Linked DNA regions of Danio rerio. The protein of the gene in region 2 interacts with the protein of the main gene of each other region in a pairwise test. Links are inferred from orthologs where the notes say so. Each region holds a gene or a part of one and is shown on either strand. Other genes may lie near its edges.

Region 1 (8,070 bases), on a different chromosome or scaffold from region 2:
TTTATTCTAGCCAAAATAAAACAAATAAGACTTTGTTCAGAGGAAAAAATATTATCAGACATACTATCAACATTTCCTTGCTCTGTTAAACGTCATATAGGAAATATTTTAAAAAGAAAAAAACAACAAAGGGGGGCTAAAAATTCTGACTTTCACTGTATATATATTTACAGTAATTTTTTTTACGTTTTTAAGAAAACTTATTCAGTTCATTAAGGCTACATTTATTAAATGTAAAAAATGTTAAATTGTTAAATATTTTTCAAAACTTTAAATAACTGCTTCATTATTGTATGTAGTTTCAAATAAAATTATTACTCCAGACATTATTGCTTTTATTACTATAATAAGTATAATAATAATTAATATTAGTGATTTCTGAAGGATCAGGTGACTGGAGTAATGAAGCTGAAATTTCATCTTTAAAATCACTGGAATAAATGAATAAATTAAATGATAAACTACTTTTGAACAGTTATTTTATAGTGCAACATTTCATAATTTGTATTTATGATGAAATAATTGCAGCCTTGGTGAGCAGAAGAAGCTTAGTTTAACATATTTAATCATAATCATACAAACGTCTATGTGTCAAAGCACCATAAGATTGTATTTGCACACAATTGACAGACAGTCGCAGCACGCAGCTCTGGCTCGATCTGTCAGGCATCAAGGCACCACTGTACACTGGCCCGAGCGTCACTCACGCTGGCTCCGGGCTATCGGGCAGTCCTTATTGTCGAGCCCTGAAGGTTTAAGCTCTGTAGATGGGTCACCTGCGTCTGCACAGTTCAATGAGCACTTTAACAAGCGTGTTTTTTTCCGCTTGGCAAGCCAAGCTGACGTGACATGGGGGCGTGGCAGCATCGACGATTCTATTTTTTGATTCGATAATCAAAATCGAGCATAAATTGATCGATTTCGATTAAAAATCGAAATCGTGACACCCTTAATAAATATATATATATATATATACACATATACATATACATATATATATATATATATGCATATATATATATACATATATATATATATATATATATATGCATATATATATATATATATATATATATATATATATATATATATATATATATATATATATATATATATACATACACACACACACACACAATTGAAGTCAGAATTCTTAGCCCTCCTGAATTATTAGCCCCTGTTTATACTTTTTCCTCAATTTCTTTTTAATGGAAAGATTTTTTTCAACACATTTCTGAACTTAATCATTAATAACTGATTTCTTTAATCTTTGCCATGATGACATTAAATAATATTTTACTAGATATTTTTAAAGACAACCTTTTAAATTGAAATTTAAAGGCTTAACTAGGTTAATTAGGTTAACTAAGCAGGTTAGGGTAATTAGGCAAGTCATTGTATAATGAGGGTTTGTTATGTAGACTATCGAAAAAAATTGCTTAAAGGGGTTAGTAATTTAAACCTTAAAACTTTTTAACAAAAATTAAGACTGCTTTTATTCCAGCTGAAAAAAATAAATAAGACTTTCTCCAGAAGAAAAAAATTGTATCAGACATAATGTGAAAATTTCCTGACTCTGTTAAACATTCAGGAAATATTTAATAACGGAAAAAAAATTCAAAGGGGGCTAAAAACTCTGACTTCAACAGTATAAGGGCTGCACGATTAAAAAATTCTGTCTTGCACATTCCATTATATTGCACAAAAACATTTTTTCACAATGTCATAGCTCAGACCTCATAGCAGATTGCAATTTTAGTTGCATAGTAACATTGTGTTTAGTCAGGGATGTTCTTTAAGTGGAATGATGACATTAAATTAACTTGTTAAGAATTTCAACAAAGCAGCATTTAAAAGCTACAATACAATCACAATATGGCATGGAAAAAGAGGTTGTTGTGCATTAATGCAAACAACAGTATTTATATTCCTCAACTGAACTATGCTGCAATTTTAGCAAGCATAGTTGCTATAAAAAGTAGTGTATGATTTTAATTCATAACAGATTTTGAACTTCTAATTATCTATACTGAACAGTACTAGTTCTAGGCACTGTGCTTTTGTAAAGATTCTTTGAATGAAACAGATCAAAAGCATTTGACAGACATTCTACTTACACTATTGCTCAGTTTAATGGAGTGTTATTGTGTATAATGCTGTGTATAATTAAAACACCTCAATGACAAGCATCAACATGACAAGCATTAACTTCTGGTCACCTTGGACAGGGATTTGAGGGCACGAACAGCATCTCTTCGATCCTCCAACAGGGTTGATGAAGCCACACGATCACACAGCTTCTGAATCTGAAGATTAAATCAACAGAAAGACACAAAAGAATGGTTCGTAATTGCCTCATCATAGTGTGGCAAACCTTACTTTATTTCAAGTATCCAATAAGTTCACATAGAATGTATGTATGTATATATGTATGCATGTATGTGTGTGTGTGTGTGTATATACATATACACACACACACACACACACACACATAGAATGTATGTATGTATATATGTATGCATGTATGTGTGTGTGTATATATATATATATATATATATATATATATATATATATATATATGTGTGTGTGTGTGTGTGTGTGTGTGTGTGTGTGTGTGTGTATGTTAGTATGTATGTATGTGTGTGTGTACACACACACACACACACACATACACACACACACACACACACACACACGATGGAGAACATTAAAACCATCAAATTACTAAAAACGACTGTCATATATGCCATTTAAACTAGCTTTACATCAGGGTTGTTTGTCATTTGATTAACAATCAGTTAGTCTCAGTAATCTGCAAGCTGAGTTAATTTTTTATTGGTTTACACGCATAACGTCAGATGTATGTGTTTATGCAGTAAATTAGCTCACTGTTTCTGCTCCAGTCGGCTGCGGGCCTGCTGGTTTGCTTCCCATTACTCCCCTTAGGAAATCCATCGTTCTGTGTCCGCTTTACTAATATTTTCAATGTTGATCACAAGGCAGACTAAACCTCAGGTGAAATAAACTGATTTTCCAGGAGAGATAGACAGCAAATGTCATTTAACAGCAGCTGCCTGATGTTGATCTCACAACACACCAGCACCCAGCCCGGAACTGACAAGGACACGCATGCGCATAAACGTGGCGATACGTGGCTGACCACAGTGTCAGTGACGATGTCTTAAAGAGACAGATGACACAAAAACACGATGTAAATGAGTAACTTCTAGTAATAGAAAAACGCCTTTTCGTGTGCAGTAGTGTTTCAAACAAGCAAGCAAACAAACGAATAATAAATAAACAAAACCACACATTTTGAAAATTTGGTAATAACTTCAGTGATAGAATAGAACAATAAACAGGAATTTTGCACAGGATTGAAATTCTTTATAAAATGTTATTAATAGTTAGACTGCGATCCATAAAGGCAGCATTTCAATTTGCTGCTTTTGTCATATCTTTTTTGTCAAAAAACATATTTCATATTTTAAAAAATGAATCTGCTAGCAAAGTGTGATTAAATTTTACTGTTGACCTTCTGAAAAAATGTCTAATTAATTTTTAAAGTATTTTATAACTACATTGTTGTGTTGCTAAATCTATCCGAAAAATATATTCTGTATTTTCAAGAAACGGGTTAAAAAATGAGCTTTTCTTCAAACATTTTAGCATGTTTTCAGTTATTAGTTTAAAACAATCACAATTTAGTCAGATTAAATCACAAACTGTTTTCCAATACAATAGGTGTTTTATCTATCTAGCAAACAATGCATAGGTAATAACAAAGGCCAGACAGAATCTGTAGACATTGTTTGCTATTTCTGCTGAAAATATAGTAAAAAAAATCTGTGGATTTATGCAAAATGATTTGAAGAGCGTCATAACTAAAAACGTAAAATATATAGTAGAAAATAAATTTTAAACGTTTTATTAAACACTTACAATTCAAATCCATCTAGTTCCCCTCATTTGGTTAACAAACCAACTCTTATATAAAATGTTTAAAAAAAAAAGAAAATATTACTTTACAAACTGTATTGTAAATAAATCATATGAACATTTTTATATTACTATTAATATTATATCACAGTAATATTAGAGGGGCATATATATATATATATATATATATATATATATATATATATATATATATATATATATATATATATATATATATGTGTGTATATATATGTATATATATGTATGTATGTATGTATGTTAACAATACAGGTTCAATCCTATGGCAAAATATTCACTGTATTAGAGGCAAAATGTGCTACACAACACTTAACCTTCATCCTACATTTGATGGTGGACTGGACAGTTTAATAAAAAGAGAGCAATTAAACTTCAAAAAATGTTGTAAGGGTCATAACTCGGGTAGCGTGAGTGTATTTGTGACATAACTAGCACATCTTTAATTCAGCCACATGACCAACATGATTTGAGATATATATATATATATATATATATATATATATATATATATATATATATATATATATATATATATATATATAATAAAAATATTGGATTTCAGAAAAAAAGCATGATCTCCTAAAATCAGTTTGTGAATTTTAAAAATATAAATTGTGTTAAAAACAGCAACAATGTGAATAAAAACTTCCAAAACAACAGCAAAAAGCAACAGTAATAAGCTCATCATGAGCCTGCACAGTACAGTAAGGTGGTAAATTAAAGCCATGACACTTGTAATGAACAGCACAGATTTCTGTTTATTGTATGTGAAGTCTAACACATTGAAACTGAATGAAAACGAAAGAAAAATTACAAAACGTAATAAATAAACACCCAGCTGCAACGTATTCTACTCACACAAATATGCAGTCCAAGTAAAATAATATGTTAACCATCTGCTAATACAAGTCCATGTTCTTGTTCCACCAAAATAAAACCACATCAACGAACAGAGCCGCTATAATAACTTTTAGAGAAACTGCACGGAAACCAATCAAAACAGTTTGCATTAGGATCAGAGGGTTAAAAGAATCTGATTATGAACTAAACAAAATAAATCAGAAGTCTGATGCATATTTTGGGATGAAAAGCACAGTTATTTGACCAAGCCCTATTGTGTAAGGTCTTCTTTTTTTTCTCCCCTGTGAATCAAACGCTCAACGTATTTGGCTGATTGAAGTGCTTTAAGTCTAAACAGAAAGGCCATTGTGGCATTTATATACACAGTAATTAAAACGTACCAGTTCCCAAACTGAAAACATGTACGAACTAGGTAGAATGGATGGGGAAAGAAGTCTCTAGGCAGGAATTACTGATATACTTTCTTCCAAAATCTTCCAAATAGTAAAAGTATCTGTAACCAAAATGTCTTAGTGTGGAGAACAAGTTGTCCCCAAAACTACTGAACAAATCAAAAATGCAATGTCCCTGATGAGGATTGTCCTAGAAATACTGCAAATAGTGCAATCTACCTGACACGGAAGACATTAAACATCAAAAATAGCGCTACATCAAACTGTACTTACAAAATCAGTGCAAATTTAGACTTTTGAGTAACACTGCAAAAAGAAAACAGTGTCTACTCTACTGTACCTATGGTTCCTCCAATTCATGAAGAACGGCATTTACGGGTTCTTCATTATGACCAGACAAAGATGGACATTTGGTGTAGATATTAAAATAAAAACTCTACTTGAAAACACAAATGTATAAAACGTTCATTAATGAAGCCTTTTCCATCTCATGTGTTTCAAACTACGTTTCTAATCAGTTCTGTTTTTAAAATGCTATTGATAACAATAACTTCAGTTTGAATGCAAAACTAGTCTATTTGGGACAATCAGAAATACACCAGCAAGGTTTCTCTGTACCCTGTATGAATACTGTCATGAAAAAAACAACAATGGCTTGGATGTAATCTAAAATGCACATCACAAAAAGAGATTTAGGCTATGAAAACTGATATAAAAAAAGAGATTGAAAATTTAAACTTCATAAAGTGACTTTGCCTTAAGAAAAAAAAAAAAAAAAAAAAAACATTCAAATCTGGAACGCATTTGCACAAAAATCATGGTACCTTTACAAACGCACCTATTACTGCTCCATTTACTTTTTTCAGGCAGACACGAACATAAATGCTGCCAAACCTGTACAATAAAAAGAAAGATTTATATAGAAACAGAATTGGAGAGGACAGTGTATTTTCTCCTCCCTTACGTTTTTTTTTTTTTCAGATTACAAACTTAAATCATTTCTTTTCTTTCTTTACAGTTTTATAAAGCTGAAATCGTGTTAGCTCACAGTTACAACTTCATGTAGCATTTAGCTTATTAATGAGCTATTCAGTGTAATTATTTAAAATAATATGGATTAAAGGCTAGCCTGAAAAATAAAACAAAATCAATACGATGAAAAGAAAAGGCCATCTCTCCATCTGCACAGTTTGCAGAAACTAGAAGGTTATCTAATACAAAATGCCACAGAGCAGAGGTTAAACTTCATACGGCACTAAAAACACCCAACTTCTTTCCCCACAAAGTTTGCAATTGTTTCCATTTGATAATCAACAAACCAGAGGATTTGCAGCACGATTCCAATTTAAAGTGAATAGTGTGTTATGAGTCATTAGGTTGTTCAAGTCGTTGAACTGCTTCAACGGAAACAGTAGACATTCCAAAGGCAAAAATGCAAGTGTAAAACAAAGCGTAAGGAAGATTATATAAAATAAAAAAACCTGAAGTATGTATATGTTTTTTTACATAGACTTCTCAATATCAGAATAAATGAAGACCGTACTACTTCCAAACTACAGGGAGAGCTCCTCTCAACGCCTCTGAGCATTAAAACGGCCCTCATTGGAACCCGAGCCCCTTCCGGAAGCCAAGCCTGGCTTGGGTACAGTGGCAACACGTGAAGGCGGGCCTCTGCCGTCTCGCTCTCGCATCATGTTTCCTCCAGCGATGCCCCGCGGCCCACCCGGCCCCCGATCACTGCGCCTGACGTCTCGACGATCGTCTCCTACTCCACTTCTGGTTTCCCGCTCACGCATCGCTCTCGTCTTTTTCTCCTCAACATTCAGACGAACTTCTCCACGGAACATGATTGGCTAAAGACAAATGACAGAAACAAGCACAAACATATTTACACATGAAGAAACTTACAAGCAGGGATGCATCGATTGTGGATATAACAAAGGAGGGCCGGTGCCCTGCACAGTTTAGCTCCAACACTAATCAAGCACACCTGAACAAGCTAATCAGTGTCTTAAGGATCACTAGAAATCTATAAGCAGGTGTGTTTGATTAGAGTTAGAGCTAAGCTGTGCAGGACACCAGCCCTCAAGGCCCGAGTTTGCCCACCCCTGGCCTAGGGCCTCAATACATTACAGATATGCTGACTGAATACAAACCTAACTCAGATCTTTAGGATCAAATAAACTAGAAATTCCAAGAGTTCAGTCAAAGCAGGTTGAATCCGTCTTCAGCTACTGTGCACCCCGATGCTGGAATCAGCTTCCAGAAATGATCAGATATGCTCCAACAGTAGGCACATTCAAATCAAGACTGAAAACAGATCTGTTTAGCTGTGCCTTTACTGAATCAGCACTGTGCTACATCCGACAGATCGCACTATTACGTCTTTCTTTTTTTTTCTCCATTCTTTTATAACCTAGTTTCAACACATTTGAATCGGTTAATCATTTTTATTATTTGTTTTTTTATTTTGTTATACGTGTCTCTTTTATTCATGCTTATGTAAAGCACTTTAAATTGCCACTGTGTATGTAATGTGCTATATAAATAAACTTGCCTTGCCTATAGAAACCCCCATACTAAAATTTTATTCAGTGTAACAATATTCATTTACCCAAAAATATTGTCAGCCAATTTTTAAAACAATATCTGTTTGATGAGATAGCAAGTTTCTATTAGCCAAATAATAATAATAATAATAATAATAAGAGTAATAATAATTTGATTAACCCTTATGTACAAAGGCAACGTTGTTTCTAATCTTTCACGTTCAATACTGTGATTAAAGAAAAAAAATAAAATAAAAATCCAGTCCGCAACTACTTTTTATATTAAAAAT
Region 2 (10,858 bases):
AGAAAGTAAAGATCATGTTCCATTAAAATATTTATTACATTTCTGAATTTTAATTGGTTTATTTGGACATCTTTAAATGTTTTTTTTTTCAATGATTAGTTTAATGTCATGAAAAGTCATGACTGCAAATGTTTTTTTCATGTTACACTAATTTATTTAATAGCCAATCTAATCAGCTAACAAAGTTTAATTGGGTGTTTTTAGTCAGGTTGACTGATGTGATGTGAGTTGAGGTGGCCCGAAAAGTTCATTTGTTTTAATAAAAAAAAAAAAAAATAGGTTGCAATATTTATTTATTTTTTACAGTTGTGTTTTGGCCAAATACTGTTTTGAAAAATTGGCTCATACAGTTGAAGTCAGAATTATTAACCTCCCATGTATTTTTTTTCTTTTTTAAATATTTCCAAAAATGATGTTTAACAGAGCAAGGAAATTTTCACAGTATGTCTGATAATATTTTTTCTTCTGGAGAAAGTCTTATTTGCTTCATTTCGGCTACATTAAAAGCAGTTTTTAATTTTATAAAAAGCATTTCAAGGTCGAAATTATTTGCCCCTTTAAGCAATTTTTTTTTTCGATAGTCTACAGAATAAAGCACTGTTATACAATAACTTGCCTAATTACCTTAACCTGCCTAGTGAATCTAATTAACCTAGTTAAGCCTAAAAATGTCACTTTAAGCTTTATAGAAATGTCTTGAAAAATATCTAGTGAAATCTTATTTGTTGTCAGCATGGCAAAGATCAAACAAATCAGTTATTAGAAATGAGCTATTAAAACTATTATGCTTAGAAATGTGTTTGAAAAATCTTCTTTCCTTTAAAAAGAAATTGGGGGAAAAAATAAACAGAGGGGCTAATAATTCTGACTTCAACTGTATCTTCTTCTTCTGGGCTTATTTCTATGTTTCAATCACAGCATATATCGATGATGTGAAAATTATAGATACTAGTTTACATTTTATAACCTTTACATTAAATAAATATGTAGAACAACAGTATTGCCTAAATGTACAATATGATCAGAAAAAAAGTATGGGATTTACCTTAGTAAATACTCTCACCAAAGATTTTATAAATATATGAGAAAACTACATGCATTTTGTTTTACTTTAAGTGAGAATGCTTCTTTTATAATGTGTATTTAAACTTTTGGGATTCATTCATTCATTTTCTTGTCGGCTTAGCCCCTTTATTAATCGACAGTCACAGCGGAATGAACCGCCAACTTATCCAGCACATTTTTGCGCAGCGGATGCCCTTCCAGCCGCAACCCATCTCTGGGAAACATTCACACACACACACACACAAACACACACACGCAAATGCAGGGAGAAAATGCAAACTCCCAAGCCGAGGCTCAAACCTGCAGCCCAGCGACCTTCTTGCTGTAAGGCGACACCATTTTTTGGGATTTATAGTCAATATATTTATCAAATGGGCGTCACGGTGTCACAGTGGGTAGCACGATCACCTGACAGCAAGAAGGTTGTTGGTTCAAGCCTCGGCTTGGTCAGTTGGCATTTCTGTGTGGAGTTTACATGTTCTTCTCATGTTTGCGTGGGTTTCCTCTGGGTGCTCTGGTGTCCCTCACAGTCCAAAGACATGTGGTACAGGTGAATTGGGTAGGTTAAAATTGTCCATGGTGTATGTGTGTGAGAATGAGAGTGTATGAGTGTTTTCCAGTGATGGGTTGCAGCTGGAAGGGCATCTGCTGCATAAAACATATGCTGCATAAGTTGGCGGTTCATTCTGCTGTGGTGACCTTAGATTAATGAAGCGACTAAGCCTAAAAGAAAATGAATGAATGAATGTCCATAGTGTACGTGTGTGAATGAGTGTGTAAAAAAATGTATAAATGAATATTTATCAAATCTCTTCATAAAATCTGTATAATAATATTTTAGAGCAGAATTTGGTGATTAATTTAATAATGATGTAAGGGGAAGTACCATATACAAAAACAGTCTATAAATCTAAAAATGAATCTGTTGATACTGTAATAAATGCAATTTACTTGAAAACACTATCATTTGTTATGTTTAAGGTTCTTGTTAGCAATTAAAGAAAATAGCTCAGTCTTGTAAATTCTTACAAGACAACATTACTTTGGGGCTATTTCTCAAGTCTGTCTTGTAATATTTTTCTTTTCACATTTTTGTATTGTAACTACTTCATTGTTGGATTATATGATCTCAAAATAAAAAGAATTTGTATTTCATAAATTATGTATAAATACATGTGCAGTTATTTTGCATCAAAACTGAATATAGAATTCATGCAAAAGGGTCAAAGACTGCAGCTGAAACCTCCACTCTGTGCAAAGGCAGTCTTTGGCCTTGTGACTTCCCACTGTCTTTTGGCATTTCAGTAGTTTCATCACTGGAATATGTTTTGTAAGAAAATACTCTTTTGAAATTTTACAAAGTTTGTTTTGTTTGTTTGGTAATTTGTTAAAATGTTGAATGTTCTCTATATAAAAATGTTACTTTAATCAATTCAGATGTACTTTATTTAGCATTTTATTAGTATTTGTTTAATTTTTTTAAATAAATCTTCATTTTAGTTGTGTAGGTTTAAGACTTGTTTATTTCAATTAGTTGCCAAGATAACATTTAAATTTAATTTTCATTGTTATATTTAACTTTTTGTATGTTTTAATTTGGCTTCTGGAAATATATTTTTAAATAATTTTAACTGTGGTTAGCACTGTCGCATCACAGCAAGAAGGTCGCTGGTTTGAGTCCCAGCTGGGCCAATTGGTGTTTCTGAAAAGAACTTGCACGTTCTACCTGTGTTTACATGGGTTTCCTCCGGTTGCTCCAGTGTCCCCCACAAAAGACATGCGCTATAGGTGAATTAGATGAACTAAAAAATGGCCCTATAGTCTATGAGTGCGTGTGTGAATGTGAGAGTGTATGGGTATTTCCCAGTACTGGGTTGCAGCTGGAAGGGCATCTGCTGTAAAACGTGCTGGAATAGTTGGCACTTTATTCCATTGTAGCAACCCCTGATAAAAAAATGGACTAAGCTGAAGAAAAATTAATGAATGAATTTTTATTGTGCAGTTTAACAGTATAATATCATTACCAGTGTTATTTTAATTTTTTGTAGCGTATTTTTATAGTTCCTGGCCATTAATAGGGAATTTTAAACAGTTAATCCTACTGAAATAATAAATACATCAAATGACAGAAACACAGACGTAAAATGCCACAGGTGTTTGTTTATAAAATAATTCACAACGTCTTCAAACACTGCTCAAATAATCAGAATCAAGGACCCGAAATCAGTTTTGTTAAAAATATATGGAGATGTCAATTACCAAGTAGAAAAACAGAAAGCAATTCTGAGTCACAGTGTGATAAAACCAATACAATAATAGCAGCAAACAAACTCTGGATGAAAAAAGCATCTAATCCTGTGGTGTCTCCACGCTCTCTTTCACTCCACTGAACACTCTGAATGAGCTGTTGGCTGGCAAAGCTACAGCTGACTGAAATTTTCTGTCGTAAAATCTTGTGGTTTGGTTGAGAGCCTGAAACCTGCCAGTTGAGTCATCTTCAAACCTTTATAGTGCTCAATTAACTGCATGTCATAATTCAAGAAGCTGATTTCCATTTTACTTGATCATTAAAAGGTAAAATACTTGCAATTAACAGCCACCAACAACTATACTTAGCAATGCGCTACCAACCAATTAGCAAAAATGCAAGCAATAACTAGAATCCTGTACATTCATTCATTTTTCTTCAGTTTAGTCCCTTTATTCCCCAGGGGTCGCCACAGCGGAATGAACAACCCATCCCTGGGAAATGCAACCCATCCCTGGGAAACACCCATACACTCTAATTCACAAACATACACTATGTACAATTTTAGCCTATAAATTCACTTGTACCGCTTGTTTTGGACTTGTGGGGGAAACGGGAGCACCTAGAGGAAACCCATATGAACACAGGGAGAACATGCAAACTCCACACAGAAATGCCAACTGACTCAGCCGAGGCTCAAACCAGCGACAATCTTGCTGTGAGGCGACAGCATAACGCCACCATGTCGCCCCCCAAACATACACTTCGGCCAATTTAGTTTATTTAATTCACCTATACTGTATTCCTGCATGTCTATAGACTGTGGGGGAAACCAGACCATCCAAAGGAAACCCAGGCGAACACTGGGAGGAGAACATGCAAACTCCACACAGAAATGCCGACCAAAGCAACCAGGGCTCGAACCAGAGACCTTTTTGCTGTGATGTGATTGTGCTATCCACTGCACCACCGGGACACCCTTATTGTCTGACTATAAAATAAAGCATACAAACATACACTACTTGACAAAAGTGTTGTAGTCGATCCCAGTTGCAAGAGCAACAAATAATAACTTGACTTTTAGTTGATCATTTGGAAAAGTGGCAGAAGGTAGATTTTCAGATGAATCATCTGTTGAACTGCATCCCAATCATCACAAATACTGCAGAACACCTATTGGAACCCGCATGGACCCTCACAGAAATCAGTCAAGTTTGTTGAAGGAAAAAGCATGGTTTTGGGGTTACATTCGGTATGTGGGTATGCGAGAGATCTGCAGAGTGGATGGCAACATTAACAGCCTGAGGTATTAAGACATTTGTGCAGCCCATAACATTAAAGACCACAGGGGAGGGCAAATTCTTCAGCAAGACAGTGCTCCTTTGCATACTTCAGTCTCCACATCAAAGTTCCTGAAAGCAAAGAAGGTCAAGGTGAATTGGTGAATTATGATAATATTCATTTAAGGATGAACTAATTCCATTAAATGCAGAATTTTGAAACAGTGAACATAACATTTTTACATTCAGGGTCACTGTACACATTTTTTTGACATCAAACAAGTGATGCACATTGTTTTGTGTAAAATTAGTCAGCACGTTTTTTTACTTTTACAACAGGTGCAAACATTCACCGCGTGAACACTCACAAAACATTTTCATCAGTTAATAGCCTTGATTCTCAACTTGCAAAGTTTAATCACGCTTGAAATTATAAATCCACGTGACAGCTAATATTTGAATTCGCAGTTTCACTTTAAGAAGCATGTAAACAAAGGCTCTTTTCGGCGTTATTTCGGCGGTGGACGTCCATCGTAACGGTATTCACGAAGCCTCGAGCGAACATCTGGCTTGATCAGTGCGTACGTCAATTGCGTAAATGTTCCAGTGATTGTGTGCAGATGCGCGCATGCTCATTGTCAGGGGGAGTGAGAGGAGCATGAATGGAGCAAAATGGCGGATCATGTGCAGGTAAGTAAATTATTTTGTTTTGCTATTATGAAATTAATGAATTTTGATTCACTGCAGTCTAATGGTAAATGTCGAGACTTATTTCGGCGATGCGTGCGTGTTTGTTTTAAATGCATGCTTCGCCAAACGAGAGAGCTTGACTAGCATGCTTTATTGGATGCGATTATCAAGTGTTGACTTGTGGCCTGTCATCATGTTGATTTTAACTCTGTGGTCCAAGCTAACACACAACTCTGTCGCATAAGTGAAAGTTGTTTTGAAGCAAGATGCGAAGACTATCGGTTTAAGCAGCAGGAATTGGCAGATACAGAGAGATTGTTTATTTCCCCCCCTGCACGTAACTCTATAGCGACAGTCATGTTTTACATTGTAAACAAGGCATCATCTTCATCCAAACCCTTGCTGTGCAATAACTACACACTGGCCTTATATCCACAATGCGATAGTGACTCGAAATAAGCGAGTCTTTTTTCCGAGTGAAAAGACTGCTGTTAAGCCTAAAAGCGCATTGTACTGTGGTTATCTGTCATTCTGTTATTGCTGAGCGCAAATGTGTCCGGTTTGCTGAGCTCTCGCGCTGTTAGCCTGTAGCTCTCATGCTAACTCATGAGATTCTCCCGCGCGCCGTCTCGTCAAACCAAAAGCCCGAGCAGAAATGAGTTTCTATTGAAAATTATAAGAACGAAATATTTGTTACTATTCCCCGCTAGATGTATGTCGGTAATTCTTATGAAAATCATTAAAATAGATGTATTATTTGTAACACATTTATTAATTTGTAGAGGTTGAGGGTAGTTGAATTGACTCCGCTGAATAACTGACATAACGTTAACTGGATGCACTTTAGTTAGCGAACCTGAAATAAACTTTTTGAGAGCTTTTCCACTAAATTATCCATATTGTTTTGCTTGTTAATCAAAATTCATTTGCAATGAAACAATATTCATCATAGTTTTAAATTTAATTTACTTTTCTGATAATGAAAATGTTTAAGGGATACAGTTTTAAATTTAATTTACTTTTCTGATAATGAAAATGTTTAAGGGAAAGTGTACTCTGAAAAAAAAGAATATTTAAGGGACAGGATACTCGAAAATAGCAGTTTTCTAATGAGAAACAGTGACCTTTTGTGAGTTGTTAATGGTTAACACTGAGAGCCAAAAACTAAAACATACAGGCCCAATAAAATAAATACCGGTGACTCCAATACCTGTGCTAGAAACTGAACATTATTTACGTTATTTTAAATCCACAGCTTCAGCAAATAAGTCTAAGCATGTACAGTCTTCCCAATAAATATTGTACATCTAAACTTAATCATACAAACATGTTTTTTTTCTCCCTCAATTATAGTTGTCAGTGTAAAGGATAGGATTTAAGTATCATTTTGATGAGCAATGTAACAGGCGTCCATTAAGGTAAAATTGGTTTTACATTCAGACAGTAAGACTTTCTCTATAATGATCATTTAAGAAAGGTATTCTTTGCAAGTTCTAAATAGTGATATAAGCAATCAATGACCATCGAAGTACAACATATGTCACAGTCAAATAAATAGTTGTAATGTTGTTTTGAAGTCATGCTTGCATGCGATTTCTGACCAAATATTCATGGTAAACAATATAGGGAGCATGTCACAAGTTGTCACTGAGCTAATGTGTGAATATAAAATCAATTTTACCTCGATGGACTCTTCACAAGCCTGTTATGTCGTGTTTAACGGTCATCAGCATCTAAAATCCTTGAAACTTTTTAATATTTAGATTTAAAAACAACAACAAAAAAACGCATGAACATTTATGTGTGTTTACGTATGCGTTATATCATCTTTGCATTAAATTCATTCATTTATTTTCTTGTCGTCTTAGTCCCTTTATTAATCTTGGGTCGCCACAGCGGAATGAACCGCCAACTTATCCAGCACGTTTTTTACGCAGTGGATGCCCTTCCAGCCGCAACCCATCTCTGGGAAACATCCACACACTTATTCATACACACACTCATATACTACAGACAATTTAGCCTACCCAATTCACCTGTACCGCATGTCTTTGGACTGTGGGGGACACCGGAGCACCCGGAGGAAACCCATGCGAACGCAGGGAGAACATGCAAACTCCACACAGAAACGCTAACTGAGCCGAGCCGAGGTTCGAACCAGCGACCTTCTTGCTGTGAAGTGACAGCACTACCTACTGCGTCACCTGCTTTAAATTACAAAAAGCAAATTACAGCTTGTGCGAGGTGTTCGTATGCAGAGTCTATGGGGCTGTGAGTAATTTGACATTATTCACATTATTGACATTACTCTGGCTGCCTTCATCAGTCTTGCACTATTTTTTCCTTTTTTCTGAAAGTTTTTATAACATCATCGCGGAGTTTTCTTATATTATTTAAGCAAATAAGATTGTAAAAAAAAAAAAATTGTTGTCCTCTTCCATTAACTTTGCTCCCAAGTTTTCCCAACCATGACGACTTCCGCTACTGAGAAACCCAGAAATGTATAAAGGGTCTATCATGCGTCCTCACACTCTGATGTAAACAAACAGCATCTCTGCTCTTGTGTGAATATGCACACATACATCATTGTGAGAGGAAGCTCACACTCCACTCCAGACTGTAGATTAAATGTTAATAATGTAGTAAATGATGTTCAGTTTCACTCGCAAAACCTCAGTATATCACCAGGAGACCACCGTTTCAGCTAAAGATCTTAATGTACGCAAGTCACTTTTAATTTGAAAAAGGTCATATATGTTTTGAGTAGACTTGGGGTAGTTCTATGTATCTTTTTTTTATTCGGTTGGTGAGAAATATTCCTTTAGTGATTCTCAAAATGAGTCTTAAGTGTAAATGACTTGTGTGTAAAAGTCTGCTAATAATTAAAATCATTATTTTTTCTTCTACTATTTAATTGTCACTGTCATAAAAAGTGGTTTCTAGACATCGTTTTAATGTGTCACTGGTACATTAAACGCTCTAGCTTTCTAGTGTTCAAACACAGACGCTGCTTGTCATCCGTTATCTCGTGACCAACCAGTTCATGACAAACGACAAGATGGGCCATATTTGAGGTCAAAAGTTAAAGAGGTCTTGAGGTTAAACACAGTGTTGCTTATTCCCATGAAATTTAATGAAGTCGTGGATGAAGCTGTTGATAACCTGACTCTCATTTGCACAGGCACCAGTAAACATGAGCTTTCCAGTGTTGTCACGCGTCCTGTTACTCTGTAGGTGGTAAAGGAGCCATTCCATTTGCAGCAATAGATTATTAATTACCATCGGAGCAGCAGTGCATCTTAAAGGGTCCTTGAGTGTTGCTGATCACATCCTGGCATCCCAACATACTTGTGTATATATGTTATGATTATCAACTAATGTTTCAAAATATGTGTTTATGTAATTATCTAATATGTTGTGAGGCCAATGAGGTGACTCAGCAATATTTCTTGGTTTTATCATTCAGTTCCCGTCTTGTTTAGTAGTTCCAAAAGATTGCAAAGTTTAATTGTAAATTGTGAAATAACTTTATTTATGTATGTTCTTATCATTAAGCAAAGCATGCTATTTTTAATTAATGTGTTATAGGTTAATTGTAGGTGGTTATCAACTTTTTATTTAGGATAACCCATTAATGATGTTTTCATTTGGGTTTCAGGGTTGTCTTATCTGTTCTGTGCAGTTTTCTGCAAATACAGCTTACATGTTATCTATTGGGATCCAAATGCATTTTTTCTGTTCTTTTAGGGGTCCTCCCTGTTCTTTTAGGGTCTCTTGATTCGTTTATCAGATCAAAATGTACAAATTTTTTATTACGTTCAAGTATTAAACTTTTCTTTAACAGGGTGTAACTCTCGGGCACCATTTCCAGATAACACTAGTATAGGCAACTGAGTTCATAAGTTCAGAATTTGTTTTGCATAATAAACGTGGAGTTTTTCATTGAGGCTGTGCATTTGTTGCGGCTGCTGTTTTTCTGCTGAGGCTGATTTTGTATAGTTATGCTCCACAAGGGAACAAAGAACTGTTTAGAGGCTTGTTGCTGCATAACACGAGTGAGCTCTTTCATTGCGCCTCTATGTATTAGTGTATCACTGACTTTTTTGCCAATCACCATATAGTCTTTCATGCATGCATGAACCAGATACTCCCTCAGTGACCTAGTACAATAAATTGTGGATGTGAGCGCTGCACATTAATTTGCCTAATGGAACATAAGTGTCTGGTTTGTCATAAACGTGATGTTTAATGTTGTGATTGTACAAGAAGATACAGAAGCTTTGCTGAAGTAATATTATTTGGCTTAGGGTACAACCTTAGCTTTGACGTAGCTGTTATGTCCAGGTTTGTTGAGGTAGTGTACTGTTACAGTTTCATAAGTGTTCTCAAATTTCAACTTAATCACAAGTTGTAAATGCAGTACTAACATGGTAAGTTTTTTTTTTTTTTGACCCATTCCCTCATTTATGAGAAGTGCATATGGTTTTAAAAAATAAAAATATATCAATCATATTTATATGAATAATGATAATTTTGGGTCAAAAGTAAACCAAAATGTGAAATTTGATTACAGATGGTTAAGAAATTATCTACCAAAATACATCTTTTGAATGTTGTTTTAATGAAGTCAAAACATATTTGTATTTCTAATATAAAAAATAATGTGATGGCAACAAAGACATTTAAATAGCAATGACTTTTTATTGTTTTTGTTCTTTCAGAGCCTAGCCCAGCTAGAGATCCTGTGCAAGCAGCTGTATGAGACCACAGACACCACCACACGTCTTCAGGCCGAGAAAGCACTGGTGGAGTTCACCAACAGTCCTGACTGCCTGAGTAAATGCCAGTTGTTGCTGGAAAGAGGAAGTGTAAGACTTTAACTTTCTGAAAACTGTAGAACACAATCTCTCAAATGATCTAACCTCAACTATTTTTTCAAAAACTCCATTCTTCCCTCATTATTTTGAGTTGAGTAAGTCTTTTCTGAATTGCGAACTGTGTTTTTGTTTGTTTGTTTGTTTTTCCAGTCCTCGTACTCACAGTTGTTGGCTGCGACGTGTCTCTCCAAGTTGGTGTCACGAACAAGTAACCCCCTTCCTCTGGAGCAGCGCATTGACATTCGTAAGTTTATAGAATCTGCCACAAATTCAACTTTAGAATTAAAACCCAATTTTTAAAATTGTTGAATTGATTCCTCAGGAAATTATGTTCTCAATTATCTGGCAACCCGGCCAAAGCTTGCTGCCTTCGTGACACAAGCCCTGATCCAGCTCTATGCCAGAATCACCAAACTCGGCTGGTTCGACTGCCAAAAGGAAGATTACGTCTTCAGGAATGTCATAGTTGATGTGACAAGATTTCTGCAGGTATGATTGATTATGAAAGTCTTTTGGTGAAGATAATATTCTTCATTTCAGAATTATACAATGGATGACAATTCAAATGCAATTTGGTTTCTTTTCGAGTGTTCATTCTTGTTAGATGTGAAGTGTTTGTCATCCAGACTAAAACAATTTGTCATGTTTTATTTGTCACTTAAATGAATTGCAGTTGAATCACAATTAATCACATGCAC

Evidence for each region. The genes of interacting proteins can lie anywhere in the genome.
Region 1: the proteins of xpo7 (region 2) and uso1 interact in binary tests that used the Homo sapiens proteins (3 or more experiments, as listed by UniProt). The two-hybrid records come from large-scale screens. The link is inferred for Danio rerio from reciprocal best matches to the Homo sapiens genes XPO7 and USO1.

Annotation. Positions count from the first base shown.
Region 1 is NC_133176.1:28,109,280-28,117,349, reverse strand, and holds the start of uso1 (general vesicular transport factor p115), read right to left. Parts: upstream 3,117-8,070; 5' UTR 2,956-3,116; coding exon 2,890-2,955; intron 2,307-2,889; coding exon 2,220-2,306; intron 1-2,219. Other genes in the region: g3bp2a (ras GTPase-activating protein-binding protein 2), read right to left, coding at 6,803-7,084. UniProt on the Homo sapiens protein: General vesicular transport factor required for intercisternal transport in the Golgi stack; it is required for transcytotic fusion and/or subsequent binding of the vesicles to the target membrane.
Region 2 is NC_133185.1:24,927,876-24,938,733, forward strand, and holds the start of xpo7 (exportin-7), read left to right. Parts: upstream 1-5,230; 5' UTR 5,231-5,265; coding exon 5,266-5,283; intron 5,284-10,004; coding exon 10,005-10,151; intron 10,152-10,310; coding exon 10,311-10,404; intron 10,405-10,482; coding exon 10,483-10,649; intron 10,650-10,858.